Oryctolagus cuniculus: one gene and its partners. The protein of the gene in region 2 binds, or shares a complex with, the protein of the main gene of each other region. Links are inferred from orthologs where the notes say so. Each region holds a gene or a part of one and is shown on either strand. Other genes may lie near its edges.

Region 1 (7,233 bases), on a different chromosome or scaffold from region 2:
GTGCTGACTGCTCCACTTCCAATCCAGCTCCCTGCAACATGCCTGGAAAAGCAGTGGAAGATGGCCCAAGTGTTTGGGCCTCTGCATCTGTGTGGGAGACTTGAAGACGCTCCTGGCTCCTGGTCCTGCCTTAGCTGTTGGGTGAAAGATCTCTCTTTCTCTGTAAGTCTAGCTTTCAAATAAATAAACAAACAAATAAATCTTAAAAATCCTTAAGGCTGTGAACTCTACAATCTTATGCTCATCCTGAGCATACAGAGAAAACCCTCCATCCATTATGGGAAGGAAGCCTTTGAGATGGCATAAAACTTAACAAGAAACACTTAACACCCAACCAAAGAGATACACAGGCAGGTTTGTGGCTCTGGACACATGCTGTATTTCTGATGCAAATTATACCTGTTATAGGATTTATTTAAGGGCCACAAATAAATTTTAGGATTTATTAAGAGGGCCACAAAGCATTTAAAGACTTAAGGGACAATATAATAGTAACTAAACTTTCACAAGGTAAACATTGATACAAACCACAAGTTAAGTGGAAGCAGACAAGCAGTAGACTAAAAGGCTTTTTGCCTTACCATAAACAATCTTTTCTCACTTGTCACAAATGATTCTCTGTATTCTCACTAGAGTCAAGTACCTGGCTGACCAATCCCTCCCCTCACCCCCAAAACACCATGATTAGAACAACTTTAAGGAACCAGGATGTGGGGACCTATTCTCAGTGAGTCTAGCAGCAATGGTACCAGAACTGATGAAGGCAGTATATCCCTTCTTACCCATGCAGATGGCTTCCCCTTTGGTGGTGATGACCACAATCTCCTGATTGACTTCAATGCCATCCTCATATCGGAGAACACCTGGAAGCATGATCTTGGCCCCATAGCAGATGGCATTCACCTGCAGAGACGGTGTCACATGTGAGGACTCCACCGCTGCCTTGCAGCCTGATCCCACACCGCATCCACAGGGCACAGAAGAATTCAGCACTTTTCATGCATGACTCAAAAATATTAGACAGATTTAACAGCTACTTCTCCCATTTCCCTGATCCTTTAGCTGTGAAAGAGTAACTACTTCCTCACTGATCTCCAATTAATTATGCAATTGGGACATACAAGTTTATTTTTTTTTATAAACACACACACACACACATCAGTCTTAGCTTTCCTTAATTGCTCCTCTCTATCACACAAAGGTTTAGACATGAAACTTATAGGCCAATGGGTAGAAGCCCACCTCTTCAGTTCAACAGCACTTTGGAATCTATCTGCCTTATGCTATACCATCTTCACTCATCTAGATCTCTTGCTACCCATATTCTACTCTCTCCTTAGAGAATTTTCATGCCTGCCTAGTCTTTAACAAAATTTATAAACTACATTCTTTGATCATACTTAACAAATTCTGGACTACTTGGAAAGTAAGAAACTTATTCTTAAAATGACCACTACAAAAGAAACCCCAACTGAAAAATATTTACTTGCATTGCTAATAGGAATACTCTCAAGTAAAAGGCAAGTTAGTGAATATGTTAAGAAAAGGACTTGTAGGGCTGGCACTGTAGTATAGTGGGTAAAGTCACTGCCTACAACATCTACATCTCTTATGGGCGCTGCTTCAAGTCCCAGCTGCTCCACTTCCCATTTAGATCCCTGCTAATGCACCTGGCAAAGCAGTGAAGGATGGCCTCAGTGCTTGGGGCCCTGCACTCATGGGAGACTTGCAGGAAGGTCCTGGCTGCTGGCCTTAATCTGCCTCAGCTCTGGCTATTACAGCCACCTGAGTGAAAATAATCTTTAAAAAAAAAAAAAAAAAAAGAGGTTGATAACCTCAGTGAAGTTTCGCTTTCACAGCCTCAAACTATGTTTTATTTACACTAACAAAATATTTTATTCAAACTTCTACAGGATAAATAACTTTGTTACAGCTCTGAATCTCTCTAATCTCAACTTTTCCCCATTAAACTAACTTTGTCTTAGAACAATTTAAGTCAGTCAAGGTTTCTTAGGCACATAGAGTTTCCAAGAAGAAAAGACCATATCCTATCTTTGGAGTCAGTTTCTGTTCAAATGCGCATTCCCATCGCAGAACTTACTGCACTGTCTTTCATAACCAGCCGTTTATGAGATGTCAGCAGCTTTTCCAAAGGGTAAACAACTCGGCGCAGGTAGCTTTCGTCCTTATGGTTGTCATACAGCCACTGAGCATCAAGCACATCGTGCATTGTCACCATGTGGTCCTGAAAAGCAGGTACATAGGAAAAAACTCAGTGTCTTCAGATCTCCAACAGTTCACAGGTCCACAAACAGCAGCGGGCATTTGGCCACATAATTAAGATACCACTTGTGACACTCATATACCATGCATCTCTTCCACTAGTGCAAGCTCATGAAGAACCCTGAGCGTCTTCATACTCACCTCCCTTCTGGACACCTGTAACTGTTTATAGATTCACTTTATGAAAGCACTGCTGTAGGCTGGGAGATAAACGAATAGTGATACTTTCTATCCAGTTCTATCTCCAAACCCCTTTTAGTGTACCAAAGTTTAATTAACAGAACAGGGAAGATGCCCTGAACTGAACTCAACACTTTGGAAGTGGCCTTTCCCAGGGTGTGAAGTAGGCAGAGTTCCACCAGGGGCTGCAAGATACCCAGAACCAGCTCTAAAACTTCTAGCTCCATGAAGACACACCTTTTCACTCATGACTCCAGAACGAACTCTTCGAAGTTCTTGCATCTGACCGCCAACTCCCAATAACAAACCAAGGTGCACACACAGTGTCCGAATGTAGGTGCCAGCCTCGCAACTCACCCAAAATATGCCTAAGACATAAACACAATACAGAGTATTTTCCAGAGTTAGTCTGCTTCTAAGTCATCAAGCCTAGAGATGATATGACCTCACCACATAGTATTTTCAAAGATTACCGTAGAACCTTCCAGAATGAGTTCCTACCCAATGCGGCCTGTGATAACTCAGTTCCTCAAAGACCCAACAACCCACCTAATCTTCTTTCCGGATCATATTCGATCATTTTGCTCTCATAGATGGTCCTCACTCGGAGCTGCCTCTTCACTGCAGCAATAAGTGGGGGTCGCTGGAAGAGGGCACCCGTCAGAGTTTCTAGGGCCTGAGAATAAGCACAAATAGAAACAAGCACTCTCCCTACATGGCCTCTTAAATAAGATGAGAGGGCATATTTGGGGAGCTTAAGGATACAAAACATAAAAGGTTTTCTTCAAAATAACTAAAAAGCCATTTCTTTCCATTTCTGCTTCGTTCTTCAACCCCTGGGACGGCTCAGGGCTGATGGGAAGCAGCTCCTCAGAAGGGATGTGGCTGGATGGGGTAGCCCATTGAAAAGGGCAGGAGCATGGTCAGCCACGAAAGGTGGCTGTTTCCAAAGGCTTCAAGGGCTGAGACCCAACTTCCCTTCCCTAAAGTGAGAGACTTACCCTAGAAAGCTGGGTACCCCCTTCAATAGCATTGTGCAGCCGAACAATTCCCACATACTCTTTGCCTGAAAAATGACAAAAGAGTAGTCAGGTGTGGCCACTCAGTTTTCTGTATTTGTTATATGCTCCATAGCTGCCATCTTGCACAGCAGGAAAAGCAGACATTTTGAAAAGAAAGGAAAGGAATGGAACGACGACATTGGGAGCTCAACATTATTCAGTGTCTTGGTGCAGATTTCACAGAAACATAACGTGAAAGGAACCTGGAACAAGACAAGAGTTGGACTCGGAAAGAATTCTGCCTCAGTGGCATGAACGGAATTTATCAACACATGCCTCTATGAACTCCAAATGTAGACCCACCAAGATCTGGCAGAGGACAGAAGGTACACAGAAACAAAAAGCATATCCATGCTTCAGGGTAGGTTTTTTCCCCTTAATGAAGAAAATTTCCAAGAGGCAAAATGTGGAGGTAAACCTGCCTTCTGTCTTCACATACCTGCACTCTGCTGTGATTTCACCAAGCGAGTGGCTCGTTCTATGCACACGATTAAACAGCCAGTCACCTTGGGATCCAGAGTACCGCTATGTCCTGTCTTCTCCACCCGAAGGATTCGTCGGATCCAGGCTACCACCTCATGGGAAGAGGGGTTGGAGGGCTTGTCAAGATTAATGAAACCTGTCCTAGAATGGACAGAAAATTAATGTACCATTTGCTCTCATGCTGCAATAAAACAACAAACCTGAAGAGTTAAAAAAATTCACCACGCGAACAGGTTATACATTCAAGACAAAGCCACTGTAGGTTTCTATCAACAGTGCTTGCTCCCAACACACTTACCTAATATAGTCCCCAATCTCCCTCTTCAGAGGATTTGAGCCACAAGGAAGAGGTGTATAATGTGTTGTCCTGACATTTAGTTTGTCAAAATTCTAGAAAGCAGCAATACAATACAAAATAGTGTTAATGATAAACCATTTACACATGTAACAGCCAGCACCATCATCAACCATGATATGCTAACATTTCACATTCCTGAATTTGCATTTTTGCTACTGTATTTCCAGTATCTGCTGTGAAACTGTTCTGCTCCTTATACACCACCCAAATTAGTAAGAATCACACTAACTAGAATATTGGTAAGTTGAACTCATTATTCTCTATGAAGAAGACTGGCTTCACTGCAAGATTATGAATAAAACATGCAACAGTTTTGATTTTCTGAGGGACAAAAGTAGCCAAAATGATGATCAAGCCCAACTTTCATCACCAGTTTAGTTTCATAAAAAACAAACCCTCTTTTACCTATCTTCCACCCCTGGATTTTAAGTTTCATGAGAGCAAGGAGCTTGGCTACCCTGTTTAGTAGCAGATCCCTAGGGTCTACAATAGAAAAGCATATGCTGGCTAAATGACAGAAATATCTGGCTAAGCAGACACCCAAGTATATTAAAGCATACAAGCAAATATCATTCTTTACCATCCCACATACAAAGCTTTATGAAAACTACAGGATTGAGGGATGTCTAACTTTTTACCCTAGCCTAAAAGCCTAAAAACACTGCAATTCAACTCATTACTCAACTACCCTATTCAAAAGCTCAAATTATAGCCAAGACTTTCTTGAAAAAATTTTAAATGTACTTTTATAAAGAGCGAGGAAGACAGAAGGACAAACAGAAAGAGATCTTATTTATATCTGCTGGTTCACTCTCCAAATCTCACAATAGCCAGGCTGGGCCAGACTGAAGCCAGGAGCTGAGACTAGATCTGGGTCTCCTACATGGTTGGCAGGGATTCACTGTTTGAGCTGCCTCCAAGGCTGCAGATTACCAGGAAGCTGGAATCAGAAGTGGAGCCTGGTCTCAAAATCAGGCACTTTTGATATGAGATTCAAGTGTCCCAAGCGGCATCTTAACCAGGACACCAAATGCCCACTAATTAGCCAATAATTTCTAAAAGACATGCTAAATGCCATGAATTGTGGCTAAACATATTGCGTACATTTTCCTAAGAACAGAAAATAGCCTGAAAAGTTAAATGACTGGGGGTGGGCATTTGGCCACATAATTAATATGCCACTTGTGACACTCACATACCATCAGAGCGCTTGGTTTGACTCCGAGCTCCTCTCTTCCAAGCCAGCTTCCTGCTAATGCACACTCTGGGAAGGCAAGATGATGGCTCAAATACTCAGGTCCCTGCAGACTCTTGGGAAAGACCCAGACTGTACTCCTGGCTCCTGGCACTGGCTTGGCCCAGCCCAAGCTATTGAAGGCATTTGGGGAGGGCTGATTCATATTCTCTCTCTTTCACTCAAAAATAAATACAAAATAAAAAGGAAAAGTTACATGAGTGGTCCAAAGTCACATACAGTTTGGCTTAAATTGATGCAGCTTCAAGGACCACGCTCTTGAGCACTACAACAGTCCTAGTCCACGTGTAGCCCACAATTAGACAGATTTGTCTTACAAGTGCAGAAACTAAAAACTAATTGTTTACAAACTTTGATAGCAATTTAAAATTGCCATGACATATCTGAAATTATATTCTACTAGCGTGCAGCACAATGGGAAAAGTCAATAACCTCATCCTTCATTTGAGATACTTTGAGGAACACTGCTTTAATCATCTGGCATTCCCTGAAGTAAAGGATGCTAGCAGGAAGCATTCTTAATAAACTGTTTAATACTTAGAAATAATGTGAAAGCCAGGCATTCACCTGATGCACATACCTTTAGCAACAAGGGCCACTGAGAAGTGTCCAACTGAGCCACTTTGGATTCAGGTTTGATAAGAAATTCTTCAGCATGTTGTATTTCCTTCAACAGTTCAGAAACACAACCTATTAGATTGGTCAGCTGATTTTCAACAAATCTATTACTAACATTGAGTGCATGTTACTTAAACAGAAACAAAGCATTCCACGCCTGTGTACTGAAACTTCCAATGGAAACAAAGAGAAGAAACCAAGTAGCTTAGAAGGGGTGAAATGCCACTCCGTGAGTTCAAATATTTAAAGAAAAAGAGGAATGGTGGGCCTGTGGGTGGGATAAAAAAGAGAAATTCACCTAGAACAGCTGATTTGGCTGAAACCATTTAGTAATCTATGCTGGACAGGACCCAAGTGTCTGCAGTTGTGCCATTTTGGCACTTTGTTGAGTGCACACAATGACCACTCAACCACAGTCCATTCCCTGCAAACCTTTAAAAACTGTTTTCTTCAATTTATTATTTAAGTAACCTTTCTTTTCATTCAAACCAAAGTAAAATACATCTCTACTCACAGCTATATCATCTGCTGGCAACGACTTCCGGTCTTTTTTCTTCTTATGCTTCTTTGACAAAATAACTACTAAAAAACCAAAAATGAGATTGGAGAATTTTTCTCAAAACTACATAAAATAAAGTTTAAGGAGCAAAATCAAGGCAGGTAGAAAATCAATTTTAGGCGTAGAATTATTGGAGAAAAAAAGTGCAAAGGCAAACACATGGGTTGCAGCTGTCGACTTCCCTAATGCTACAGGCTAACCACGTGGCTGTGGCAGGGCTTAAACAGCCTACAGAAGCGTTCATTCCTGGGTCGCAAAGTTTCAAGGCGACCACCCGACTGCCCACGCGGCCTTGTGGCCTCTAGCTAGGGCTTTCTCCCAGGTCAGAGCAACCCCTGCCCTGGAGTTCCCGTGCCTCTTCCAAGCGACCGCTCTCGCTCCCCTTGTCGTGAGGTACTACCGGCGGCGGTGTATGGGCTGATGGCGACACAGGTAC
Region 2 (7,233 bases):
CCTGCGACCCCACAGCGTACCGCCTACCCGCGACCCCACGGCAGCGCAGCCCTGGCCCCAGGCACCTGGGTTCTTGGCTCTCAGCATGGAGTAGCAGCAGGACGCGGTGTCCGAGATGACCCGCAGGAAGAAGGAGGGGTTCCTGCGAACGTGCTGGTTAAACGGAAGCCGTAGCACACACGCATGGAACCTGGGGGAGGGCGCAGGCGTCAGAGGACGCGGTCCCTACCAGGGCGTGCTGTGCGTGTGCAGACCGGTGCCTGCTTGTCCGCCTGTGTGCGCGCAGGGGCACACGTGTGCTCACGCGCGCACGACAGGGTCTCCCTGACCACCGCAGCCTGCTGTGGACAAGGCGAGGCTGTCCACTCGGCCAGTGCCCTTTCCCAGCCACACCACCGAGGGCCCCCCTGCCGCCTGAGGGGGGACACACTGGGCGGGGACGGGGCCTTGGCCCTGTGGTCGGCTAAGTCAGGGTGCTCCGTGGGAGCCCACGGGAGACCTCTGCCCGCAGGACCCCGTGCCAGGCCTGCTGGACTCAGCCTGTGGGCTCGAGTCAGCTGCACCCCAGGCACTGCTGGGACACAGGTGGACACGTGTGGAATGCACCCACCCGCGACGTCACAGTCCAGCTCCTCTCCCCACGCCTGCCTCCAGGGATCCAAGTGCCCAGGACATTGTGTGCCCGACCCTTCCCGACACAGCAGCCACCAGCCCTTCTGCCCCGTGGACGGGGAGGGAGCCACATGTGGCTGTGGCAGTCCTCGGGGCCTGAATGCGGGCTTAGGCCCTGTGGCTAGAACGGCTCCCGTGGCTGACTCGTGACCTGTGGGCGATCCCTGTGGACAATGACCCTGTGTGTGTGGCCCCGTCCCAGGTACACCGCGAGGACCTCTGCTTCCGGGGCCGGGCGGGTGGCAGGTGACGGCCACCACCTGCCGACTGCAGGCTGAGAGCCAGCGGCTTCTGCGTGTCCCTGGAGACAGGGTCGCTGGAGGTCAGTTCCCGCCCGAGCTGCAGGGGGCAGCGGCTTCCTGGAAACCTCAGGAGCCAAGTCCCCGGGGCACAGAGGCTGAGGCACGGGCACGGCCAGGCCAAGGGCACAGCGCCCGAGCCCGGAGGACACGGCCTGCAGGGGAGCTGCCCGTCCACCCCCCGTCCCCAGGATCAGCGAAGAACAGGGAATGTTCCAGAAGCACCATCAGCCATGGGCAGGAGCCCGTGTGTGGACGCCAGGCTGGCAACGTGCTTGGAGCCACTGCCACCCTCCGCTCTGTACCCGACCGCGCCCTGTGTCTCCTGCCCAGCCGGCTGCTAACTCAGCCGCCTCTGAGCCCGACTGCCTGCCCCAGGACGTGGGCCACTGTCCCCACCCGCAGGTGGGCGTGGAGTTGCCCGAGGCGGAAGCCAGGGACTCACCTGTAGGCCTGCAGCAGGAGGATCTTGTACAGGTTCACGTAGACCGTGTGGAGGCTGTTCACCTGCGTGGCCGGGGCAGCGGGGCGTCATGGGCACACGCTGGGAGCCCCTGGGCAAGGAGCCACCGTCCCCGGGGAGTCAGCCAAGCCCTGGCCAGGCGGGGGGTGGGGTGCCCAGCAGGGAGCCTCACCCTGAGCGTGCTGAGGCCAGGGAGGGCGGTGACCAGCCCCACGCATGCACACCCACAAGCCCACGTGCCCTTCACACAGGTGCCCCTGCCCCTCACACGGACGCACACACCGTCAGGCACGTGTGCCTGGTGCGCGCTAGCCACACCCGATCGCTCAGGTCTCGGCCGCTGCCCGCTCACCTGCAGGTCCAGAAACAACCCATGACACTTCAGCCGCAGGACCGCCAAGAGCTTGCGGCGCAGGCCCCTCCCGGCCTGGACGCCGGGGTTGAAGGTGAGGCTGGCCCTGACGGACGTCCCTGCAAAGCTGACACAAGGGCACGCTGCACACCCAGCCCTGCCCGAGTGTGGCCCCGAGAACCCGTCCCCATCCTGGCCCTGGGTGTGGCTGATGGGGACGCCTGCCCGCCCTGCCCCGGGGTGGCTCCGAGAATCCATCCTTGTCCCCATCCTGGCCCTGGGTGTGGCTGACGGGGACGCCTGCCCGCCCTGCCCCGGGGTGGCTCCGAGAATCCATCCTGTCCGCATCCTGGCCCGGTGTCGCTGACGGAGATGCCTGCCCACCTGGCTCCAAGAATCCGTCCCCGCAGAGCCTGGGACGTGGCCTGCAGGGTGACGTCCACCCAGGACTTGGGCTTGCTCATCAGCGACAGACGAACGAGCCCTGGGGAGACCCGGGCAGGCCTCACCAGGAAGGAGGCGCCCGGCAAACCACACAGCCGGGAGCCTGGACGCCAACGGTGGCCCCACGCCCGACACTCGGTGGGCGACGTCTCGTCCCTGGACACAGCACAGAGCACCTCGGCCCGCGCCTCAGTGGCCCTGGCTGAAGGCAGCGCCCAGGGGCAGGAAGCAGAGGCCTCCCCACCCCGAGCCACACGGCAGCGGCGGAAATGAACTTCAGTGTCATCAACGTTCCAGAACAGGTGTCTCCCTGTGGCCGCGTGGCCGCTAAGCCCCTTGTGCGGGCTGCGCCGTCACACCGCCAGCATGCCGGTCGGCCAGGGCTCCTTGGAAGCACCGGGGTCTCCAGTGCGGGCCTCCCGGGCCTGGCCAGCTCCGAGCGCCCAACGCCGTGGTCTGCAGCTTGCTCCAAGCCTGGGCAGAACCCCCGGGAGCCGCCACTGAGCACCTGCTGCCCGGTGCACCCCGAGAACCGAGTGGGAGGAGCGTGGGCACCCAGCACCCGCGTGCGGGGAGAGGCCTCTGCCTCGCGGCCGCTGATGCTCAGCTGCTCCCCTGGGGTTGTGTCCCGCCTGCACCCACCCTGAACTCCCGTGCCAGCGTTTCTCCGCACGTCTGTGAGGCGAGCGGGTGTCGGTCACGTCTCCCGCCGCAGCCACAGGAACCCCCTCGTGCCCCTCACCCGCTCCTCGCGGGGTTAACGCATTCGCTGGGCAGAGGCGGCCTCCTCCGCGGTGCGCCACTGCGTCACCGGGGCTGCGGCTGGGGTGGCCCCAAATCTGGCCGGGCCTGCCTTCACCCCACAGTTATTCGGTCTCCTTCCGGCCGCGGCTTGAAGCCCTCGGCCACGTGTGCCGGACACCCAGATGCAGAGCTCCGGAGCGGCTCTGGAGCCACTCCTGACGCGGCCACGACAGCCCCAGGGCGCCGGGGCCCCAGCTGTCCCAGCACCGGTACACACCTGCTTCCCCCACGCCCGCCGACAGGCTCCCTGGCTTTGCTAGTGTGTCCCGAGGGGCACGTCTCCCGACGGCGTCACCCACAGCTCGGCAGCGCTGGAGGCAGGGAGTGGGGGCGCCTGTCCTCCAGGGAGCCGAGTCCGTGGGCGAGGGCGTGGTGGCGGGGGCGGGCCCACACGGCTGCCGGTGCAGCGGACGGCAAGAAGCCCTGGACCATCCGATCTGAGTCCCAAGGACGAGGACAAACCACCCAGAGCCAGGGCAGGCTGGGCAGCCGGGCACCCCAGGTGGACAGGACACGGGGTTGCGGGGGACAGACAGGGCCTGCCCCACCCCCACGCAGCAGGTGCCCCGCGAGCACTCTGGGAATGGGGCTCTGTCCAGACCCGGACAGTTAACTGCAGAGTAACAGGCACTGCCCACACACGGAGAAGGAAACACTGACTCCCCCTCACGTCACTCGTGGCTGTGCCGAGCCTGAGGCCAGGCTGTGAGCTCTTGGCGTGGGCACACCAAGACGGCTACCAGACCACACGTGTCCTGCCAGAGATCCGGGGGCCCAGGCTGCTCCTGCACTCCACAGCCTGCACCAAAGCGCCGGGAAAATGTGCCTGGCAAGCCTCCCACGCCACGGTGGCCACGCTGCGGCCAGCTCTCGGCTGAGGCTCCATGGCGCCCCCCCCCCCCCAGGCCCGCGGCCCTCACCTGGAGTAGTCACAGGACACCTCCAGGGTGCGTGTGTCGAACAGCAGCCCGCACCAGGGGAACAGGCAGTGGGCGGGCAGCTGGAGCGGGGCGGGGCCGTCCGGGGCCACGTCCCCCACAGGGAAGTTCACGACCGTCTTCTCCAGGTTGATGTGGCAGCCGTACTCGGGGACGCCGCTGACCAGGGCCCTGAAGCAGCAGGAGTCCGTCTGCAGACACGAGCTGGACACGGCCGGCAGCTGTGCAGGGACGGGCTTGGGCCGGCCAGCAGGGCCCGAGGCTGCTGTACCCAGCTCCCATGCTCCCTGGGGGCCCGTGGCCACCGCCCTGGCGCGCACCTGCATTCCCCGCCCTGACATTCAGACCCTCCCAGGAGGCCCCGGAGCAAAGGGACCCCCGGGGCAGCCCCTCGAGCGGGCCCAGCTCCCGGCTGGCAGGAGCGGTCTGGCTGGGGGGGTGGGTGGTCCCAGGCCTCGGAAGCCCCGGCACTGTCCCTCTGGGGTCCTTAGCTCTGGGACACGGGAACCACAGCGGTAGTGGCTCCACACAGAGCAGCCTCAGAACACGCACACGGCTGGTCCTGGCCTCACCTCCACGCGATGGGCACGGGCGTCTGTGTGGAGGGCGTGTGGAGGGTGTGGTGTTGTCAGTGCCTGTGGTGTGCACATCTGTGGCACGTGTCTGTGTGGGGTGTCTGTGTGGGGTGTGTCTGTGTGGGGTGTGTCTGTGTGGGGCGTGTCTGTGGCGTGTCTGTGTGGGGCGTGTCTGTGTGGGGCGTGTCTGTGGGGTGTGTCTGTGTGGGGTGTGTCTGTGTGGGGTGTGTCTGTATGGGGCGTGTCTGTATGGGGCGTGTCTGTATGGGGTGTGTCTGTGTGGGGTGTGTCTGTGTGGGGCGTGTCTGTGTGGGGCGTGTCTGTGTGGGGTGTGTCTGTGTGGGGTGTGTCTGTGTGGGGCGTGTTTATGGGGTGTGTCTGTGTGGGGCGTGTCTGTGTGGGGCGTGTCTGTGTGGGGTGTGTCTGTGTGGGGCGTGTCTGTGGCATGTCTGTGTGGGGTGTGTCTGTGTGGGGTGTGTCTGTGTGGCGTGTCTGTGTGGGGCGTGTCTGTGTGGGGTGTGTCTGTGGGGTGTGTCTGTGTGGGGTGTGTCTGTGGGGGTGTGTCTGTGGGGCGTGTCTGTGTGGGGCGTGTCTGTGTGGGGCGTGTCTGTGGGGTGTGTCTGTGTGGGGCGTGTCTGTGTGGGGTGTGTCTGTGTGGGGCGTGTCTGTGGCATGTCTGTGTGGGGTGTGTCTGTGGGGGTGTGTCTGTGGGGTGTGTCTGTATGGGGCGTGTCTGTGTGGGGTGTGTCTGTGTGGGGTGTGTCTGTGTGGGGCGTGTCTGTGGCATGTCTGTGTGGGGTGTGTCTGTGGGGGTGTGTCTGTGGGGTGTGTCTGTATGGGGTGTGTCTGTATGGGGCGTGTCTGTGTGGGGTGTGTCTGTATGGGGCGTGTCTGTGTGGGGCGTGTCTGTGTGGGGTGTGTCTGTGTGGGGCGTGTGTGTGGGGCGTGTCTGTGTGGGGCGTGTCTGTGTGGGGCGTGTCTGTGGGGGTGTGTCTGTGTGGGGTGTGTCTGTGGGGGCGTGTGTGTGGGGCGTGTCTGTGTGGGGCGTGTCTGTGGGGGTGTGTCTGTGGGGTGTGTCTGTGTGGGGCGTGTCTGTGGGGCGTGTCTGTGTGGGGCGTGTCTGTGTGGGGTGTGTCTGTGGGGTGTGTCTGTGTGGGGCGTGTCTGTGTGGGGCGTGTCTGTGTGGGGTGTGTCTGTGGGGTGTGTCTGTGTGGGGCGTGTCTGTGGGGCGTGTCTGTGGGGTGTGTCTGTGTGGGGCGTGTCTGTGTGGGGTGTGTCTGTGGCGTATCTGTGGCAGGCTCCTGTGTCGTGGGAACCTGTGTCCTGGTGCCCACAGCTCGGCAGCCCCCACAGCACCCCGGCTGGCAGGTGCGAGCCCTCACCTGAGGAAGGCTTTTGCCTGGGCCAGGTGCGGTGTAACCAGGAGGAAGTCGTCGACCAGACGCAGGAGCACCCTGGGGGACGGGCTCACTTTAGTTCCCTCGCAGCACCCGCGCAGGGGCCAGGAGGGCGTGCACAGCGGGACCTTGCGCCTGCGTCCTGCCCCCGCCGGGCCTCCGTATTGGCTGCACAGGCTGGTGGGATTTGGCACTGACAGCAGAACCTCACAACCAGGCCTGGCTCGGAGCCCTGCTCCAGGAGATGCGACCGAGAGCCAGACCGGGGACGGGGACAGCCAGGCAGGGCACCCTCCTGATCTCGCCCCGCCCGTGGAGCAGCTACACGCACGCACACGCACACACACCCCTGTCGGTGCACACACGGGACCGGCTGGGCTGCCGCGTGGCACGCTCACCCGTCCTGCTGGACGCCGGGGAACAGCCTGTTCTCCATGTCTCCGTAGCACAGGCTGCAGAACAGCGTGGACAGCATGGAGCCCTGCGGGACGCCCCGGCACTGCACGTAGGACCTGAGGGGCACAGGACAGAGAGGGACGCCTGCCGCGTCTGCCGCCTGGACAGCATGGAGCCCTGCGGGACGCCCCGGCACTGCACGTAGGACCTGAGGGGCGCAGGACAGAGAGGGGTGCCTGCCGCGTCTGCCGCCTGGACAGCATGGAGCCCTGCGGGACGCCCCGGCACTGCACGTAGGACCTGAAGGGCGCAGGACAGAGAGGGGCGCCTGCCGCGTCTGCCGGCTGGACAGCATGGAGCCCTGCGGGATGCCCCGGCACTGCACGTAGGACCTGAAGGGCGCAGGACAGAGAGGGGTGCCTGCCGCGTCTGCCGCCCCCAGGCTGCCGGCTGGACAGCACGGAGCCCTGCGGGACGCCCCGGCACTACATGTAGGACCTGAGGGGCGCAGGACAGAGAGGGGCGCCTGCCGCGTCTGCCGCCTGGACAGCACGGAGCCCTGCGGGATGCCCCGGCACTGCACGTAGGACCTGAAGGGCGCAGGACAGAGAGGGGTGCCTGCCGCGTCTGCCGCCTGGACAGCACGGAGCCCTGCGGGACGCCCCGGCACTGCACGTAGGACCTGAGGGGCGCAGGACAGAGAGGGGCGCCTGCCGCATCTACCGCCCCCAGGCTGCCGGCTGCGGGCCGTCCCCGGGCCCTCCCGCCCGCTGACAGGCAGGAGCCGGCCGGGGCGCCCTGCACCCACCTGTCCCCGACCCGGATGACACTGTGGTGCACAAGGCGCAGGAAGAAGTCGAAGAGGTCGCTGCTGGTCTCGTTCAGAGAGGAGC
Region 3 (7,939 bases), on a different chromosome or scaffold from region 2:
CCGTGACAAGCCAAGCCTGTGCCACTCCAGCTCCTCAGCCTAGGGGTGTCCAGCTGTGGCCAACTTCCTGCTGTCCAGCCTCAACTGTATGTATCCATTTCCCACTGTACATACTCAAGTTAGAACTTAATGTAATTGTTTTATAACTTTGACCAAATATACTCACAGCCCTCCTTCCTTCTGCCAGCCTTTAGCTTTGCCAACAAGGAATTGCTGGGTCTACTACAAACAGCTAGTGGGCGTGGTGTGGGGCGCAGCCAGAGCCCAGGCATCTTCACTGAAGGGGACTTGGATGCTCTCAGCCCCTCGGCAAGGGGCCTTTACAGACACATGTGTACCAAGTCCAGTGGAGCCTTTGACATAGAGAAGGAACTTAAGTCTAAAGTGCTAGAAGGGATTGGTTCATCAGAGCCAACATGTTCAGCAGGAGGATGGCCTCTCGCTTCTTTCTATTTTTTAGTGTGTGGGTGGGTAAATTGCTTCCATAGCTTCAGAGTGGCACTAAGAAGAGGAATGGGGGTGCCCGACAGAGGCCGCAGGCTCCTGTGAGGCGGGTTCTGGGCTCTGCTACCTCAGTACACAGCCCCCATTTCCCAGGAAGTCAGTGGTGAAAGCCCTGGGTGCTGGGCGGCTCAGCGTTAGCGCTGCAGACTCTGGTGAGAAGTCCGCTTCCTCTTTTTCTTGCCCGCCAACTGCCTGGCCCCACCAGCAGCTGCTGCTTAAAACAACACCCACAGACTCACCACATTGTAGCCTTAGCATTTACTTGCTCAGCCCACACTCTTGGAACTGTCTTCATTTAAGCTCAACAGGAAACAGCTCTGATGGAGAAGGCGCCGGCTCTACTTTCATGATAAACAGCTGGTGGAGCTGCCTGGGAAGACTATGTTCCTCGGGGAACCAGGGCAGACACTGTGAACATGGGCAGAGGAGGGTAGGCTGGGCAGCTACCAGCCAGGCAGGTACCCAGGTTGCTGCCTAAGTCCTTCAGTGGGGTGAGGGCAGGGCCTGCACCTCCTCCAGGCACTCATCGTAGGCCTCCTGGTATTCCTCGTGAGGCTTAACCATAATCACACAGGTGGGGCGCTTGGAGCCCGCAGCTGCACCCAGATCCTAGAGGAGGAAAGAAAGGCTGTCTGGGGGAGAGGCCACAGAAGCTATGTGCAGGGAGTCACACGTGATGACTCAGCAGCTTGATCTGGCCCACAGTCTGTTCCACTGGGTCTGTCTATGTCACACTTAAAAGTTATTTTGAATTGGTTGCCATCATTTAAACTCCAGTAAGTATTCAAGCTGTGGTCCAGCCACACTGGGCCTACATCCCCACAAGGCCACCATGAAAGGGCTGCAGCCCAGCAGGGGCTGTTCCTGGGAGCATCCCCCTGAAACAGCCCCTCTGAGCAGGAACCCACATAACAGGACTCACACAGGTCCATGTACATCCGCATTCTTTCTCACAGTCCACAGGAGGGGCTCCTCATTTTATAAGACAGAAACTGAGTCGCCGTCTGCAGTGCCACAGCTTGGCAGCAGTGGTACCAAGAATCCGCAGTCCTGCTTCCCACTGTGTCCTGCTTGGCTCACCCCCAGCACCTCTCCCGAAGGGCTGTGCTTCTTACCGTCTTCGAGGGGATGTAGACGTAGGGCAGATTCCGGTCCTCACACATAACTGGGAGGTGGCAGTATACTTCAATGGGCAGTGTGTCTCCTGCCAGAACCATGATCCTGAAATGAGAGAATCTGCTGTGGTTTCCAGCTGTCCCTACCCCGTCAAGTTACAGGCCAAATTCTGGGCTGGGCTCTGGGGGTGCACAGAGTAAGATGTCCATCCCCCCACCTCCCCTGCTCAAGGGGTTACTATGTGAGTCTGCCAGCCTCTGGAAGGGTGCAAACTTGTATTTGGCAAATAGTATTTGTCCAGGGAGGTGATCTCCACTTCTTAACAAAATGTAAATGCCACCAAGTGTGATAAGGGGTACAGTACTGAGACAAATGAGGTTTGAGGGGCACCAAAGAATAAGCTCAGCTTTTCTCAGAGTCAGTAAAAGCTTGGGTGGACATTTGGCACAGTGTTAAGATGCTGTCTGGGGAAGCTGGTGCTATGGCGTAGTGGGCTAAGCCTCCGCCTGCAGTGCTGGCATCTCATATGGGCACCAGTTTGAGTCCCACCTGCTCCACTTCTGATCCAGCTCCCTGCTGATGGCCTGGAAAAGCAGTAGAATATGGCCCAAGTGCTTGGGCCACTGCACCCACAGTTGGAGACCTGGAAGAAGCTCTCGGCTCCTGACTTCAGATCGGCACAGCTCCAGCCTTTGCAGACATTTGGGGAGTGAACCAGCAGATGGAAGATCTCTCTCTGTCTCTCCCTCTCTCTGTAACTCTCAAATAAGTGACACACCCAAGGGCCTTGCTAAGAAACAAGCTGTGTCCCAAAAAGAACACCAGAGTCCTCAGCTAGGGTCCCCAGCTAGCAAGCTCACGGGGCTCTGGGCAAGGGCAGCTGGGAGTGCTGCTTCTCCTCTCCTGGGGCCTGTCAGCAGCCTTTAAGCTGGTGTCCCTCAGCCTGGGCCTTGGCTGCCCTCTCCCTACATCCTTCCAGATGCACCCGCAGCCACGATGACACGTGCCGCCAGTGTGCTACAGCTCCCAGACCCGTTCTCCCCAACCTGTCCCCCTCTCTTCCAAGCCCCAAACCCATATAGCCATCTGCCCGACTGACAGTTCAGGAGGTCACACTTCTTCAAAGTAATCTCCCCACACAGACGTCTCAGAAAACAAGCCCTGCACCCTGGGCAGGGCATGCCAGAATCTAGAAACCATTTATACTTCTTGGTCCTTCTGAAAGTCCACTTGGATCCATCTACTTTCATATATATGTATATATGTGTATATATACATGATTGATTTCTTTGAAAGGCAGAGAGGGAGAGACAGAGATCTTGTATCTGCTGGTTCACTCCCCAGATGGCCACAATGGGGCTGGAGCCAGGCTGAAGTCAGGAGCCAGGAACTCCATCTGGGTCTCCCACATGGGTGGCAGCGGCCCAAGCTCTTGGGCCATCCTCTGCTGCTTTCCCAGGCACACTGGCAGGGAGCTAGAGCAGAAGAGAAGTAGCCAGGACTCAAACTGGCACTCCTATATGGGTTGTCCACACCGCAAGCCGTGGCTTAACCTGTTCCGAACAACGCCAGTCCCATCATCCACTTTAACTGCAATTTCACCATGACCTGTCCTAGATTATAGCCACCTCCTGCCTGCACTTCCTCAGATTGACTCTTGCCTCTCTGATCCTTTCAATTGCAAGAAAAATCTTTTACAGTTGTTTGAGACAGCTCTCATCTGGTTTACTCCCCCAGATGCCTGTAAGGCTTGGGGCAGAATGCAATCCAGGCTCCCAACCACCAGGGCTGCAGCCCACCCCCTAGCACCTCTCCCGAAGGGCCTGGCAGGAAGCTGGGGCTGGGGATCCCACCCAGGTGGGCCACGGGACGTGGATGTCAACTCTAGGCTAACACTAGGCTACACGCCTGCTCCCACATGTTAAGGTGCAACCATAACCGTGTCACTTCCTGTCTTTACCCTTCAGTGGGCTCCCAAGCTCTGAGCACAAACACTAAGCTATGGCTTACAAGGTAGCTCCCAACGTTTATCTCCAGCACCTACACAGAGCCAGGCACCTCTGGAGGTAAAGCTGTGCGGGCCGTGTTCTCGTGGCGCTGACTCCGGCGGGACTGGGAGACTTACCGCCCGTCCCCGCCCCAAGCAGCGGGGCAGTGGGGTCACTCTCCTCCACAGCTGCGGTTACCCGCGAGTGTGGTGACCCATAGAGAACACAGTGCCTGGAGAAGCGGATTCTCCTGACAGGCGTCCGGATGACCGAGGCCGGGGTCCGCCCGCCCCGAGCGCGTCTGCACCGACGGGAGCCCGACCCAGCCAGCCTCTCACGGGGCGCCCCAGGCAGCACGGCTCCCTGCAAAGTCCGGCGCAAGCGGGATTCTTACCCTTTCTCGCCCTTGTTGACAAACTTCTGAACCTCCTTCACCCCGCGCCGGATCTGCTTCTGCTTCACGGCTGCAACACCAGAAGTCAGCGGCAGCGGTGCACCCGCCCCTCCATGCCCACGCCCGCCCGGCCCCGGCCCCACCTTTCTTGATGCACTTGTAGAGCTTCCGCGTGAGGCGGCGCGAAGCCAGGGGCTGCGCGATGGGGTTCAGGTTGACCAGCAGCTCGTGATAGGTGCGCTCCCCGCCGCACGCCTCTCCCTGGGCCTCGGGCCCGTCGGGGTCAGACTTTATTTTGGTCATGGCGGCAGCAGCCGCAGCGGAGTCCCCGGGAAGCTTGTCCGCGTGGTCGGCCGCTTCCGGAACCGTTGCCGAGTCACCCCGCCCCACAGGAAGCCGCCGTACAGCGCGTCCAATTAGGACACGATGTCTCCGACCCTCGAGCCAATCGCTGACGCTCAGCGTATTACAGCCGCGCCTGAGCGGCCGGGGGCGGGGCCCCGGGAGCGAGCGGCGGGCTGAGCGCGGCAGGGGCGGCTTGCCTCCGGGTCCTGGGCCGAGAGGCGGGGCCCGGAGAGAGGGGGCGGGGCCCGGAGAGAGGGGGCGGGCCGGCCGCTGCGGCTGCTGTGGGGGCTGGGCGCCGCTGACACCCAGGCCTGGGGAACGGCGGGAGGTGGTGCCTGTGCGGGCGTGTTGGTGTCTGGGGGCGGGGTCCTGGCCTACTGGCCGGTGCGGTGCTCAGCGTGATAGAAAAGCTGGGCCTGGCTGGGCCTGGGCGGCGTGCCCAGCTGCTGCTGGAGGCGGAGGTCCAGCCCCGCGCGCTGAAGCGGCCTTGCCCTTGCCTCGCCTCCCGAGCTTTGCTTTCTCTTCCCCGGACCCCGCCTTAACAGTTCGCGAGGGGCCCCTTTCCTCCAGGCTTGCCCCCGCCCGGGGCCTGCCCGCTGCACCTGCTGACTTCATCTAAAGCTGCAGCCCCTCCCACTCCCGCCGTAGTCCCCCAACCCTCTGTCGTCCCAGTTAACCCCGCTAGGGTCGCCGTAGGGAGCCCGGCCAGGCTAGGCGTGGCTTGGGCAGAGATGGCCAGGTGGGGTGGGCCGGCGCGCCGGGTCGCTAACCGGATCGGACGGGCGGCCTGGGGCCTAACAGTCCCAGATTCCGGGGCCTCTCGGCGTCTCCGACTGGGCTCCTCCGCCGTTTGGGACGGCTGCGTGGTTATTAATTTGATAATTTCTGCGAATCAATGCCTCTCGTTATGCGGTGGCAGGCCTGCCTTTTGTGGTAGAACCAGCGAATATTGGCCGTGGCTCACTTGGCTAATCCTCCGCCTGCGGCGCCGGCACCCTGGGTTCTAGTCTTGGTTGGGGCGCCAGATTCTGTCTCGGTTGCTCCTCTTCCAGTCCAGCTCTCTGCTGTGACCGGGGAAGGCAGTGGAGGATGGCCCAGGTCCTTGGGTCCTGCACCCGCATGGGAGACCAGGAGGAGGCACCTGGCTCCTGGCTTCAGATCGTCTCTGGCCATAGGGGTCATTTGGGGGGTGACCTTTCTCTCTCTCACTAACTCTGCCTGTCCAAAAAAAAAGATTTCTTTATTGATTTGAAAGGCAGAGTTTGAAAGGCAGAGTTACAGAGAGAGGGGGAAAGAGGGAATTTCTTCCATCCACTGGTTCACTTCCCGAATGGCCTAAAAGAGCTTGGAACTCCATCCAGGTCTCCATCTGGGTGGCAGCGGCCCAGGTACTTGGGCCACCATCTGCTGTCTCCCCAGGGAGCATTAGCAGAGAGCTGGATGGGAAATGGAGCAGCCAGGACTCAAACCAGTGTCCATATGGGTTGATTGCATTGCCGGCGGCAGCTTAACCCATTGTGCCACAGTGCTGGTCCCCAAGTTGATTTTTTATTTTTAAGAAAATGTGTATTTTCATTTACTTGGAAGGCAGAGTGACAGAGAAAGAGAGAGATCTTCAGTCTGCTGCTTCACTCCTCAGATGACTGCAACAGCCAGGGCCGAGCCCGGAATTCTGTTGGGTCTCCCACGTGGGCCATCACCCGCTGCATTCCCGTGTGCATGGCAGGAAGCTGGATGGGCAGTGCAGAGGAGCAGTGGCGCAAACCTCCTCCCCAGGGATCTAATTCTTTTTTAAGAATGGAGGTTTTTTTTAAAGACTTATTTATTTATTTATTTGAAAGAGAGAGAGGAGAGAGAGAGAGGGAGAGAGAGAGAGGTCTTCCATCCACTGGTTCACTCCCCAGATAGCCACAATGGCTGAGCTGTGCCAACCTGAAGCCAGGAGCTTCTTCTGGATTTCCCATGCAGGTGCAGGGGCCCAAGGACTTGGGCCATCTTCTACTGCTTTCCCAGGCCATAGCAGAGAGCTGGATGGGAAGTGGAGCAGCCAGGACTTGAACAGGCACCCATTTGGGATGCAGGCGCTTCAGGCCAGGGCTTTAACCCACTGCTCCACAGTGCTGGCCCCTAAATAAATCTTAAAATAAAAATAAAGATAAATAACAACAGAAACTGTGGTCTCACAGTTAGAAGGCCAGAGGTCTGCGCCGGGGCCTTGGCAGGGCTGTGCTCTCTCTGAAGGCACCAGGTCCTTCTTGGCCTCCCGTGTTGCTGGCAGGTGATCCTGGTTCACGGGGTCTCTCCAGTGACTGTTCCTGTGGGATTTTTTCCTCTTATAAGGAGACCGGATGTACTGGATTAGGGTCCACCCTCATGACCTTGTGTTAACTGGATTACATCTGCCTGGGCCAATTTCCAGATAACACCGCATTCACCACCATCAGGGGCTAGACACTGGGGCCCAGGAGTGATGGGGCTGGGGGCTGGGCCTAGGGGGGCCGTGTCGCCAGGCAGTTCTGACCTGAGACTTCAGGACCTTGGGCTTCCTAGCCAGTGACCCAGGGCTCAGATTTCTGGAATTCAAGGGAAGGACTGGACTTTTCAAAGCAGAAGGGACACTCGGGACCCCTGAATGTAGACCTTGTGGAGATGGGAGTCTGAGGCAGTTCTGAGAGGCTTCCTCCTTGTGGAGGTGGCCTTGCGAGGTGGTCTGCTATGGCCTGGGAAAGCAGTGAGGATGCCCCAGGTCCTTGGTCCCCTGCATGCACATGGGAGAGCGGAAGAAGCTCCTGGCTCACCCCTGACTGTTGCAGCCATTTGGGGAGTGACCCAGCGGATAGAAGACCTCTCTCTCGCTGTATCTCCTTCTCTCTCTCTGTAACTCTGCCATTCAAATAAATAAATCTTTTATAATTTTTTTTATTTTTAAAATTTATCTGAAAGACAAAGAGAGAACTTCTACTCTCTGGTTTGCTCCCAAAATGCTTGGAAGAGCTGGGCTGAGCCAGGCTGAAGCCAGGAGCCAGGAACTCCATGGGGTCTCCCATGTGGGGCCCAAGTACTTGAAGCAACACCTGCTGCCTCCCAGGTTCATCAACACAAAGCTGGCATTGTAAGCAGAGCAGAGCCAGGACTTGAACCTAGGGACTCTGAAATGGGATATGATGTCCTTTTTTTTTTTTTTTTTAAGATTTGTTTTATTTGTTGGAAAGGCAAAGTTACAGAGAGAGAGAGTGAAGGATTTTCCATCTGCTGGTTCACCCCGCCACCCCCAAATGGCCACAATGGCTGCAGCCCATACCAAAGCCAACAGCCTGGAACTCCATCCAGGTCTCCCCATTTTCTGTTGCTTTCCCAGGCGGCTGCATTGGCAGGGAGCTGAGTGGGAAGTGGAGCAGCTGGGACGTGAACCAGCTGGTATCTCAGGGAGCAGCTGTTGTGCCACAATGCCGGCCGGCCCCCTTGGTGACGTCTTAGCAGCTGCTCCAAACCCCAACCCTGTGTCTGTCCTGACTCTCATGCACCCCTTCCTGGTTCGGGGTGTGTGTGGGTGGAGCTGCCTCCTCTGCGGCTCTCCCCACCCTTTCATCTG
Region 4 (8,013 bases), on a different chromosome or scaffold from region 2:
CTCCCCGCTGCCCTCATCACACGTGCAGTTTGCCTGGTTACCTCCTCACCGCCAGCCCTCCCCGCTGCCCTCATCACACGTGCAGTTTGCCTGGTTACCTCCTCACCGCCAGCCCTCCCCGCTGCCCTCATCACACGTGCAGTTTACCTGGTTACCTCCTCACCGCCAGCCCTCCCCGCTGCACTCATCACACGTGCAGTTTGCCTGGTTACCTCCTCACCGCCAGCCCTCCCCGCTGCACTCATCACACGTGCAGTTTACCTGGTTACCTCCTCACCGCCAGCCCTCCCCGCTGCCCTCATCACACGTGCAGTTTGCCTGGTTACCTCCTCACCGCCAGCCCTCCCCGCCGCCCTCATCACACGTGCAGTTTGCCTGGTTACCTCCTCACCGCCAGCCCTCCCCGCTGCCCTCATCACACGTGCAGTTTACCTGGTTACCTCCTCACTGCCAGCCCTCCCCGCTGCCCTCATCACACGTGCAGTTTACCTGGTTACCTCCTCACCGCCTGTCACCCACGCTGGAATAGAAGCTTCATAAGGACGAGGATTCGTGCCAGGCTTGCATCTGACTAATCCCCAAGGCCCGGGGGCAAAGCCTGGTACCCAGAACATGCTCCACAAAAATGCGCTGAATGAATGAATCAGCAGAAGAATGAATGGGGGGCCGGTGCTGTGGTGTAGCGGGTAAAGCTGCCAGCTGCAGTGCCCACATCCCATATGGATGCAGGTTCGAGTCCCGGCTGCTCCACTTCCGATCCAGCTCTCTGCTATGGCCTGGGAAAGCAGTAGAGGATGGCCCAAGTCCTTGGGCCCCTGCACCCGTGTGGGAGACCTGGAAGAGGCTCCTGGCTTCAGATCGGCACAGCTCTGGCCATTGCGGCCAACTAGGGAGTGAACCAGCAGATGGAAGACTCTCTGTCTCTCCTTCTCTCTCTGTGTAACTCTTTCAAATAAATAAATGAATCTTTAAAAAAGAAAAAAGGATGGATGGATCTGCCCAACGCTGGCCTCTCTGTGCCTTGATCTCCTTGGCCCCCACAGCCGCCGCCTTGGGTCCACATCAGCCTCCTCTTCCCACTCATCCCGGCGGCAGTGCACCGCCATTGCAGCCTCGGAGGATCACCTCTGGCCCACGCAGCTCGCTCGCTCTGCTATTCCGGGAACATTCACAATCTCTCTCTAGTCCGCCAAGACACCCTGCTCCAGTACAGATGCTGGCGTCACAAGTCACAGCTTAACCCACTGCATCACAACACTGGCCCCCTGTTAAATTCTCTCAGTTCTATTAATCATCCTTGTTTTACAAACTGAAAAACTCCAGTCATTTAACTCACTGGAAAAGATGTACAACTATAGTAGTCTCACTTTTCAAAATTTTTATGTATTATTTTCTTTGAAAGGCAGAAAAATAGAGAGAGAGAGATCATCTGTCTGCTGGTTCACTCCCCAAATACTCCCAATAGCTGGGGCCAGGCCAAAGCCAGAGCATAGACCTCCACCTGCAAGGACCAAGTGCTTGAGGCACCACCTGCTGCCTCCCAAGACACACATCAGCAGGAAGCTAAACCAGAAGTGGAGTCGCCAGAGCTCAAACAAGGCACACCCGATGGATGCAGGAGCCCCACGCTGTGGCTTCTCACTGCGGTGACAAATGCCTGTCACTAGTGTTGCTTTAAATGATGGCAACTCTTGGGGCTGGTGCTGTGGCATAGCGGGTTAAAGCCCTGGCCTGAGGTGCCGGAATCCCATATGGGCATTGGTTCGAGTCCCAGCTGCTCCTCTTCCTATCCAGCTCTCTGCTACGGCCTGGGAAAGCAGTAGAAGATGGCCCAGTCCTTGGGCCCCTGCACCCACATGGGAGATGTGGAAGAAGCTCTGGCTCCTGGCTTCAGATTGATGTAGCTCCGGCCGTTGCAGCCATCTGGAGAGTGAACCAGCAGATGTAAGACCTCTCTCTCTGTCTCTACCTCTCTAACTCTTTCGAATAAATAAAATGAATCTTAAAAAAAAAAAAAAAAATGACAGCAACTCTGAGAGGCGCTGAGCAGAGAACATTCCTCCGTGGCTCTCCTTTTCTGCCGAGGCAGACACAAACCTTCCAACCTCTCGCTGCCGTGAGGCCGGACTCTGCCTCTCAAGGCCAAGTTCTCCAGCGTGATCCAGACCCTGCCTTCCTCGGGCCACCACTGGGGAGCTCTGCTCTCCCCGTGCTCTCTCCTGCAGCACCAAGGCCTCCCTGTCTGCTTGGTTGTTCCTGACATCACAGATGTACCCTAAAAGCCCACATTCCCTCTGGTCACCAATCCATTTCTAGGATCCCTTTCAAAGCACCACCACGAAGAGTTGTCCACGCTCTTTATCCCCCCCGCCCTGCTCGGCTCTGCCTCCACCGCATCTCCAGGGCGGTCCTGACGTGCTCTCGGGCCTTCTCCAGACCCAGCTCCGGTCTCTCGGCAGCGCCAGTCGTGCGTCTCGGCCTCCGCCTTTGTCACTTCTCCTGCACCCCCTCCACACACTGCAGCACTCAGGGCTCCGCTGGGGCCTTCTCCTCCTGGGTCCACACTCCCAGGACTGAACCCACTTGTCCAGCCATGAGATGCCATGGACACACCCTCCCATTTCTCGAGTTACAGCCCCAGCCCCCTTCTCCCCGTAGCCCCACATTTCAGTTAGTGTACTTAGAAACCCCCGATTTGTCCCATTGCCTGCTCCTGTCCCAGTTTCCTCCTTGGCGTACACTGGGCCCCCCCTCCAAACTTGCTGCAAACCCTGGACGCCACCTTCGACTGCTTCCTTCCCTGCACCTCCATGCCCAACGGATCTCCCAGTCCTACAAAAGACACCCCAAACCCACCCACGCCCCTCCTGACATCACCCACCTCTCACCTGGGAGCCAATTTCACTCTGGCCCACCCTCAGTCTCTCCACTCTTCCATTCCAAAGCTCTTCCGTGGCTTCCCAAGTCATCTCCAAAGGCCGCATCAGGAGATCCCACAGGCCGCAGCTGGGGGCACCCCTTGCCCTCACCTACCTCCCCCTCACTGGCTGCAGCCCAGCCCCACGGGCATTCTTTCTGTTCTCCAAACACGGAATTTCTTCCCGGCTCTGGCCTCCCTGATCTCCCTGCCTCTTCCTGGAAGGCTCTCTCCAAGGCTGGCCCAAGGCTCATCATGTCCTTTCCTGCCCACTTCCTCTGAAACACTAGCTCATCTCGCCTTCTATTTCCTTCACAGCCAATTCGAGAACAAATTTTGTGTGGAAAAAAAATTATTTCATTGGCCTGCCAGCGACTTGTTCATGTTTTAATATTCCACAAGGATGTTATATATATTCTTTTAGTACATAATAACTGTACAGGCACTCATTGTCATTTGTACTGATCTTATCGGTTAACCTGTGTGTTATCCATTTCCCACACAAGAAAGCAAACAGCTCTTGTCTATATCAATCGCCACGTTACCCCAGCACCAAAAACAATGCCTACTGTATTGGCAGTCATTCAGTAAACATTTGGATACATACATACTGCTCCGAGAAATCTACTACCTTTTTTTTTTTTCGGACAAACACATCCTATACCTGGCCAGCGCCACAGCTCAACAGGCTAATCTTCCACCTTGCGGCGCTGGCACACTGGGTTCTAGTCCTGGCCGGGGCGCCGGATTCTGTCCCGGTTGCCCCTCTTCCAGGTCAGCTCTCTGCTGTGGCCCGGGAGTGCAGTGGAGGATGGCCCAGGTGCTTGGGCCCTGCACCCCATGGGAGACCAGGAGAAGCACCTGGCTCCTGGCTTTGGATCAGCGCGGTGCGCCGGCCGCAGCACACTGGCCGCGACGGCCATTGGAAAGTGAACCAACGGCAAAGGAAGACCTTTCTCTGTCTCTCTGTCTCTCTCCCTGTCCACTCTGCCTGTCAAAAAAAAAAAAAAAAAAAAAAAAAAAAACACAACACATCCTATACCTAAGAAGGGACAAACACCCTTTTGAATAACTTCACTATTCAAAACAGAAAATGCTACATATAGGGGCGGCATTGTGACACAGTGGGTTAAGCTGCCACCTGTGACACCAGCATCCCATATGAATGCCAGTCCCGCTGCTCCACTTCCTATCCAAACTCACTGCCAATGCGTCTGGGAAGGCAGCGGAAGATGGCCCCAGTGCTTAGGCCCCTGCCACCCATGTGGGAGACCAGGCAGAGTTCCTGGCTCCCAGCATTGGCCAGCCATGGCTGTTGGCGGCCACCTGGGGAGTGAAACAGTGGATGGAAGATCTCTCTCCCACTCTCCCCCTCTCTCTATAACTCTGCCTTTCAAACAGATATGTAGATCTGTAAATTCACAGGGAAGACAAGTGTGTGAACAGGAAAGCCGTGGTCTACACTTTCTCCAGCTACATGAAGGTGCCTGCCAAGCCCCTCCCCTTACCATTTCGGCATATTCCACCTGTTCCTCCCCAGTGTACAGCTCCGGGGGCAGGTTGTAAATCCGCAGGATGTTATCAGCACTGTTGGTCAAGATGCAGGAACCGTCAGGAGCCCTAAAAATAGGAAAGGGTTAGAATCCTGGCCAGAGCCAAGCGGCCCAAGCCGAGCGCTAGGGCTAAGCTGACCTCTGGGGGTGCAAGACACAAAGGCCTAGGTCCTAAAAAGGGCGCCTCACCCCTCTCCCACGCTGCTTTAAGGTGCAAACCTCTGGCCCCGCTACCCTTACTCACCACTTACAGCCTTTCAGAAAGTTCTCGGGTTGGGCGCAGAACTCCGACCAGGAGCCGCTGAGAAATCGGGGCAGCTGGGAGAAGCTGTAGTTCCAAAGGCTGGAAGGAAGACGGAGGAACAACAAACCTGGGGCGCTGAGCCACGGGCAGACGGGCCTGGGGGCCGGCGGTCAAGGTCCTGCTCACACCTGCACTCGCCTCGGAGGCCACGGCCAGCCGCCGCCACCACTTACGTGTCTCCCTCCTCCGACAGGCCTTCCGCGGCCGCCCCGTCCGCGGCTTCTGCAGCGAGGCTCGCCTCTTCGCCAAGTTCTTGCTCCTGCACCGGCGGACCCAGCTCGGTATCGAACTCGGCTTGCAGAGCGGACAGAGAATCTGGGTCTCCTGCGCCCAGCTCCTGGGGGAACCCTGAGCCAGGCACCGCACCCGGGGACGCCCGGGGCCGATCGCTGCCTTCGGGCGCCGGCGGCATCGGTTCGGGATCCGGAGTTTTATCCACCGAGGAAGCCCGCGGAGACTGACCGGCTGCAGCGGGGGCCTGGTCCCCCGGAGCTGAGGGCTGAGCCTCCGACGCCTTCATACTGCAGAAGCAGTGCGGCAGGCATTGGCCTCGGCCGGGCGGCCAGGACGGCTCCGAAGCTCCCGGGAACCGCGACGCAGACCTGGAGGAGCCCACCCGCGCCTTCCTGCCTCCTCCGGGAGCGGGAGGCGAGAACAGCACTGAGAGCCGGCGTCTCTCAGCACCGTGGTAGCTACACGCCACTGGCTCTCGCGGGACTTGGGCCCACCTTCGTCCCGATTGGACCTCCGCACCCCGGAGCGGATTTCGCGGGCGAACCACGTCGGGGCGAGGCGGGGGCCTTACAGGTTTAAGACTTACAATTCCCATAAAGCCCTACGGCTCCTCGTGGCTGCTGGGAGTTGTAGTCTGAACGCGTCCGCCTTGGCGAGAAGTACCAGAGCGCCCCCTACCGTCTCCCACGACAATTCTCAAAGCGCCTACCCGCCTCAGCCTGCAGAGGGCGCCTGACCTTGCAGCTTTTACACCTCTTCTGCATCCCATTCGCCAATTCCTCAGCCCTCTGTCTCTCTCCATTCATTCAGTAAATATGTATTATCAAGCTCTTGCCACCCTGCACTGCACGAGCCACTGGGGAACACAACGATGACAATAGACAGGTTCTCTGTCCTCAGAAGGTTGCATTGCTGTGTGGGAAAGGGTGACTAGATCTGCAGATAGTGAGAACGGTTGTGAGGGAAACTAAACAAGATGGTGTGATATGAAGTACTTGGGGGACGCGTTAGACTGGGACGTTAAGGAAAGCCCTTCTAGAAGGTTACGGTTGAGCTGATGAGAAGAAACTAGCTATCAGGGCAGTGTTGCGGACAAGAGGGAAGCGGCGAAGACAAGAGCTTTCTTCCTTCCACCCTTTATATTCAAAATGGTTTCCGCCAATTCTGCCCTCACAGCCCTGGCCTGCAGAACTTCGCCGCGACAAAATGTTAGCCGCTACAGCACCGAGGCTGCAAGAACCCTGACTCTCTCCACACACACACCCTCCATTTCCTTCGCCTCACGCCGGCAGGCGAATGACTTGCCCTTACTTGTCATGGCGACCGTCCAGGAGCCTCGCGGGGGCTGATGGGATTGGGGTTTTCCCCTCCCATGTGCTCGGACTGGCGCTAAAAGTTTTGAGCGCCTCAAAAGTCCGGGGCCACCGTCCGGGAAGCAGGTAGCCGCTGGGCTGCGGGGGCACCTGGCGTCCGTGGCCGGAGCGTGCCGCCCGGGGCCGTGACACGCTCTCCTGAGGACTGGGTAAGGCCTTGACTGGGACTGATGCGTCCCCTCTAAGGGATTTGGCTCTGGGCACCTTGCATTTTCATCTAGGGGCGCAGCTGGGGGTGGGGCAGTGGGGGTGGACGGGGGCTCGGTGGGAGCGAGAGGCCGGCTGGCGGGAGGAACAGAGGAGTGCCGCGTCGGGAGGCCTGGGTGCGAACGCTGGGCAGGGGAGTGGGGCTTTCGGGGGGACCTGAGCCAGCCCCAGGTTTACTTCGCCCCCGAAATAACATGCACTAAGCCTTGGGGGCTGAGGTTTCCACATCGCGAGACTCGGACCTCTAGGCCCGAGATGGTAAGGTCCAGGGCAGCGGAGGGAAACCTCGGGCTCCGTTCCGAAGAGAGCGCTCGGGTCTCGGGACTTCCGGACCTTTGTCTCCCCGAAGTGGTCATCGCAGCCGGCCGCCGGCTCCGCCGGATGGAGAAACTCCGATCAAAGCCGGGCGGCCGTGGGACGCGCCGAGCAGAGGGTTTGCTCAAGGCAGCCGGGGAGACCGTCCCGGCCTGAGAGGCTCGGCAGCCCTGTTATTGTTTGGCTCCACATTTACATTTCTGCCACTTGCAGGAGCATTTCCGGTTTCTTTTTTGCGGAGCGGCTCACGGTTCCCCCTATGCGGGGGGTGGGGGGAGAGAGAAACTAGTGTCTTTCAGGCTGATTTCTGTTCCTTGCGGGAGAGGTGTCTATCATTTCCCACCTTTTCTGCCCTCTGGATGACTTGGCTCCTGCTTTTGCTAAGAAGGGAGGATTTGTTTTGATGCACACCTCCGTCCCTCCCCCCGCCTCTGAATGGTGCGCTCCACCCTGCCCCCCTCGCAGCCTAGGTGGACGCTACCATTCTGTGGGACGGGGGGGGAGGCGAACACGTTACAGATGGCAAAACCAAGTATTTTCGGAAATGGGTCCGCTGGGGAATCGAATTCTGGAAGTGTGCAATGACAGGCCATTCGTCTGTGTAGGGGAAACAGCTTCTCTAGTATCCGGTTTTGGGCTAAGCCATACCAATTCCAAACGCAGTCCGGACGTCGTAAAAGCGGAAGGGGCGGGCCGGCGGGGTCCTGCCCGCGGGCGGCGGCGGGGCCGGCGGGGTCCGTGTGCCCTGCTGCTGCACCGCGCGGGGCGTGGCGGTGCCCCGGTGTGTCCCAGGCCCTGGGCACCGTGGCCCGATGTGCCTGTCGCTTTTCTAAACTGTCCTTCGCGGAAGCTTAAGTGCTTCTCTTCCCCTCGGCGCCTGGCGTAATTTCAGCCTGTGAGATGAACGGGAGATAGGCAAGGCAAGGTGGAAATGGCCTTGCGGGAGGCGGCGGATGGCGTCTCCCCGGGAACCGGCCCTGGTGGGCTCCGCGGGGCGGGCTGTCAGACCCCCGCCATCGTTTGAATGTGAAAAGATCTTTTCAGGGCACAAAAGACGGAATATCCACTTGATTTGCCTTTGCAGTGCACTAATGTGGGTAAATATAAACT

What was found.
Region 1: TERT (region 2) and DKC1 share a complex: the UniProt entries of both Homo sapiens proteins name them as parts of the telomerase holoenzyme complex. The link is inferred for Oryctolagus cuniculus from reciprocal best matches to the Homo sapiens genes TERT and DKC1.
Region 3: TERT (region 2) and NHP2 share a complex: the UniProt entries of both Homo sapiens proteins name them as parts of the telomerase holoenzyme complex. The link is inferred for Oryctolagus cuniculus from reciprocal best matches to the Homo sapiens genes TERT and NHP2.
Region 4: TERT (region 2) and WRAP53 share a complex: the UniProt entries of both Homo sapiens proteins name them as parts of the telomerase holoenzyme complex. The link is inferred for Oryctolagus cuniculus from reciprocal best matches to the Homo sapiens genes TERT and WRAP53.

The regions. Positions count from the first base shown.
Region 1 is NC_091453.1:133,382,124-133,389,356, reverse strand, and holds part of DKC1 (H/ACA ribonucleoprotein complex subunit DKC1), read right to left. Parts: intron 6,821-7,233; coding exon 6,753-6,820; intron 6,288-6,752; coding exon 6,201-6,287; intron 4,398-6,200; coding exon 4,306-4,397; intron 4,149-4,305; coding exon 3,964-4,148; intron 3,530-3,963; coding exon 3,465-3,529; intron 3,140-3,464; coding exon 3,013-3,139; intron 2,832-3,012; coding exon 2,701-2,831; intron 2,605-2,700; exon of another isoform or gene 2,475-2,604; intron 2,246-2,474; coding exon 2,102-2,245; intron 904-2,101; coding exon 783-903; intron 1-782.
Region 2 is NC_091445.1:97,018,884-97,026,116, reverse strand, and holds part of TERT (telomerase reverse transcriptase), read right to left. Parts: coding exon 7,149-7,233; intron 6,457-7,148; coding exon 6,343-6,456; intron 6,002-6,342; coding exon 5,930-6,001; intron 4,144-5,929; coding exon 3,955-4,143; intron 1,914-3,954; coding exon 1,787-1,913; intron 1,526-1,786; exon of another isoform or gene 1,479-1,525; coding exon 1,417-1,478; intron 191-1,416; coding exon 66-190; intron 1-65. UniProt on the Homo sapiens protein: Telomerase is a ribonucleoprotein enzyme essential for the replication of chromosome termini in most eukaryotes. Active in progenitor and cancer cells. Inactive, or very low activity, in normal somatic cells.
Region 3 is NC_091437.1:63,754,487-63,762,425, forward strand, and holds NHP2 (H/ACA ribonucleoprotein complex subunit 2), read right to left. Parts: upstream 4,392-7,939; 5' UTR 4,306-4,391; coding exon 4,146-4,305; intron 4,073-4,145; coding exon 4,003-4,072; intron 1,741-4,002; coding exon 1,620-1,740; intron 1,114-1,619; coding exon 988-1,113; 3' UTR 748-987; downstream 1-747. UniProt on the Homo sapiens protein: Required for ribosome biogenesis and telomere maintenance. Part of the H/ACA small nucleolar ribonucleoprotein (H/ACA snoRNP) complex, which catalyzes pseudouridylation of rRNA.
Region 4 is NC_091448.1:52,226,279-52,234,291, reverse strand, and holds the start of WRAP53 (telomerase Cajal body protein 1), read right to left. Parts: upstream 6,163-8,013; 5' UTR 5,604-6,162; coding exon 4,948-5,603; intron 4,814-4,947; coding exon 4,715-4,813; intron 4,538-4,714; coding exon 4,426-4,537; intron 1-4,425. UniProt on the Homo sapiens protein: RNA chaperone that plays a key role in telomere maintenance and RNA localization to Cajal bodies. Specifically recognizes and binds the Cajal body box (CAB box) present in both small Cajal body RNAs (scaRNAs) and telomerase RNA template component (TERC).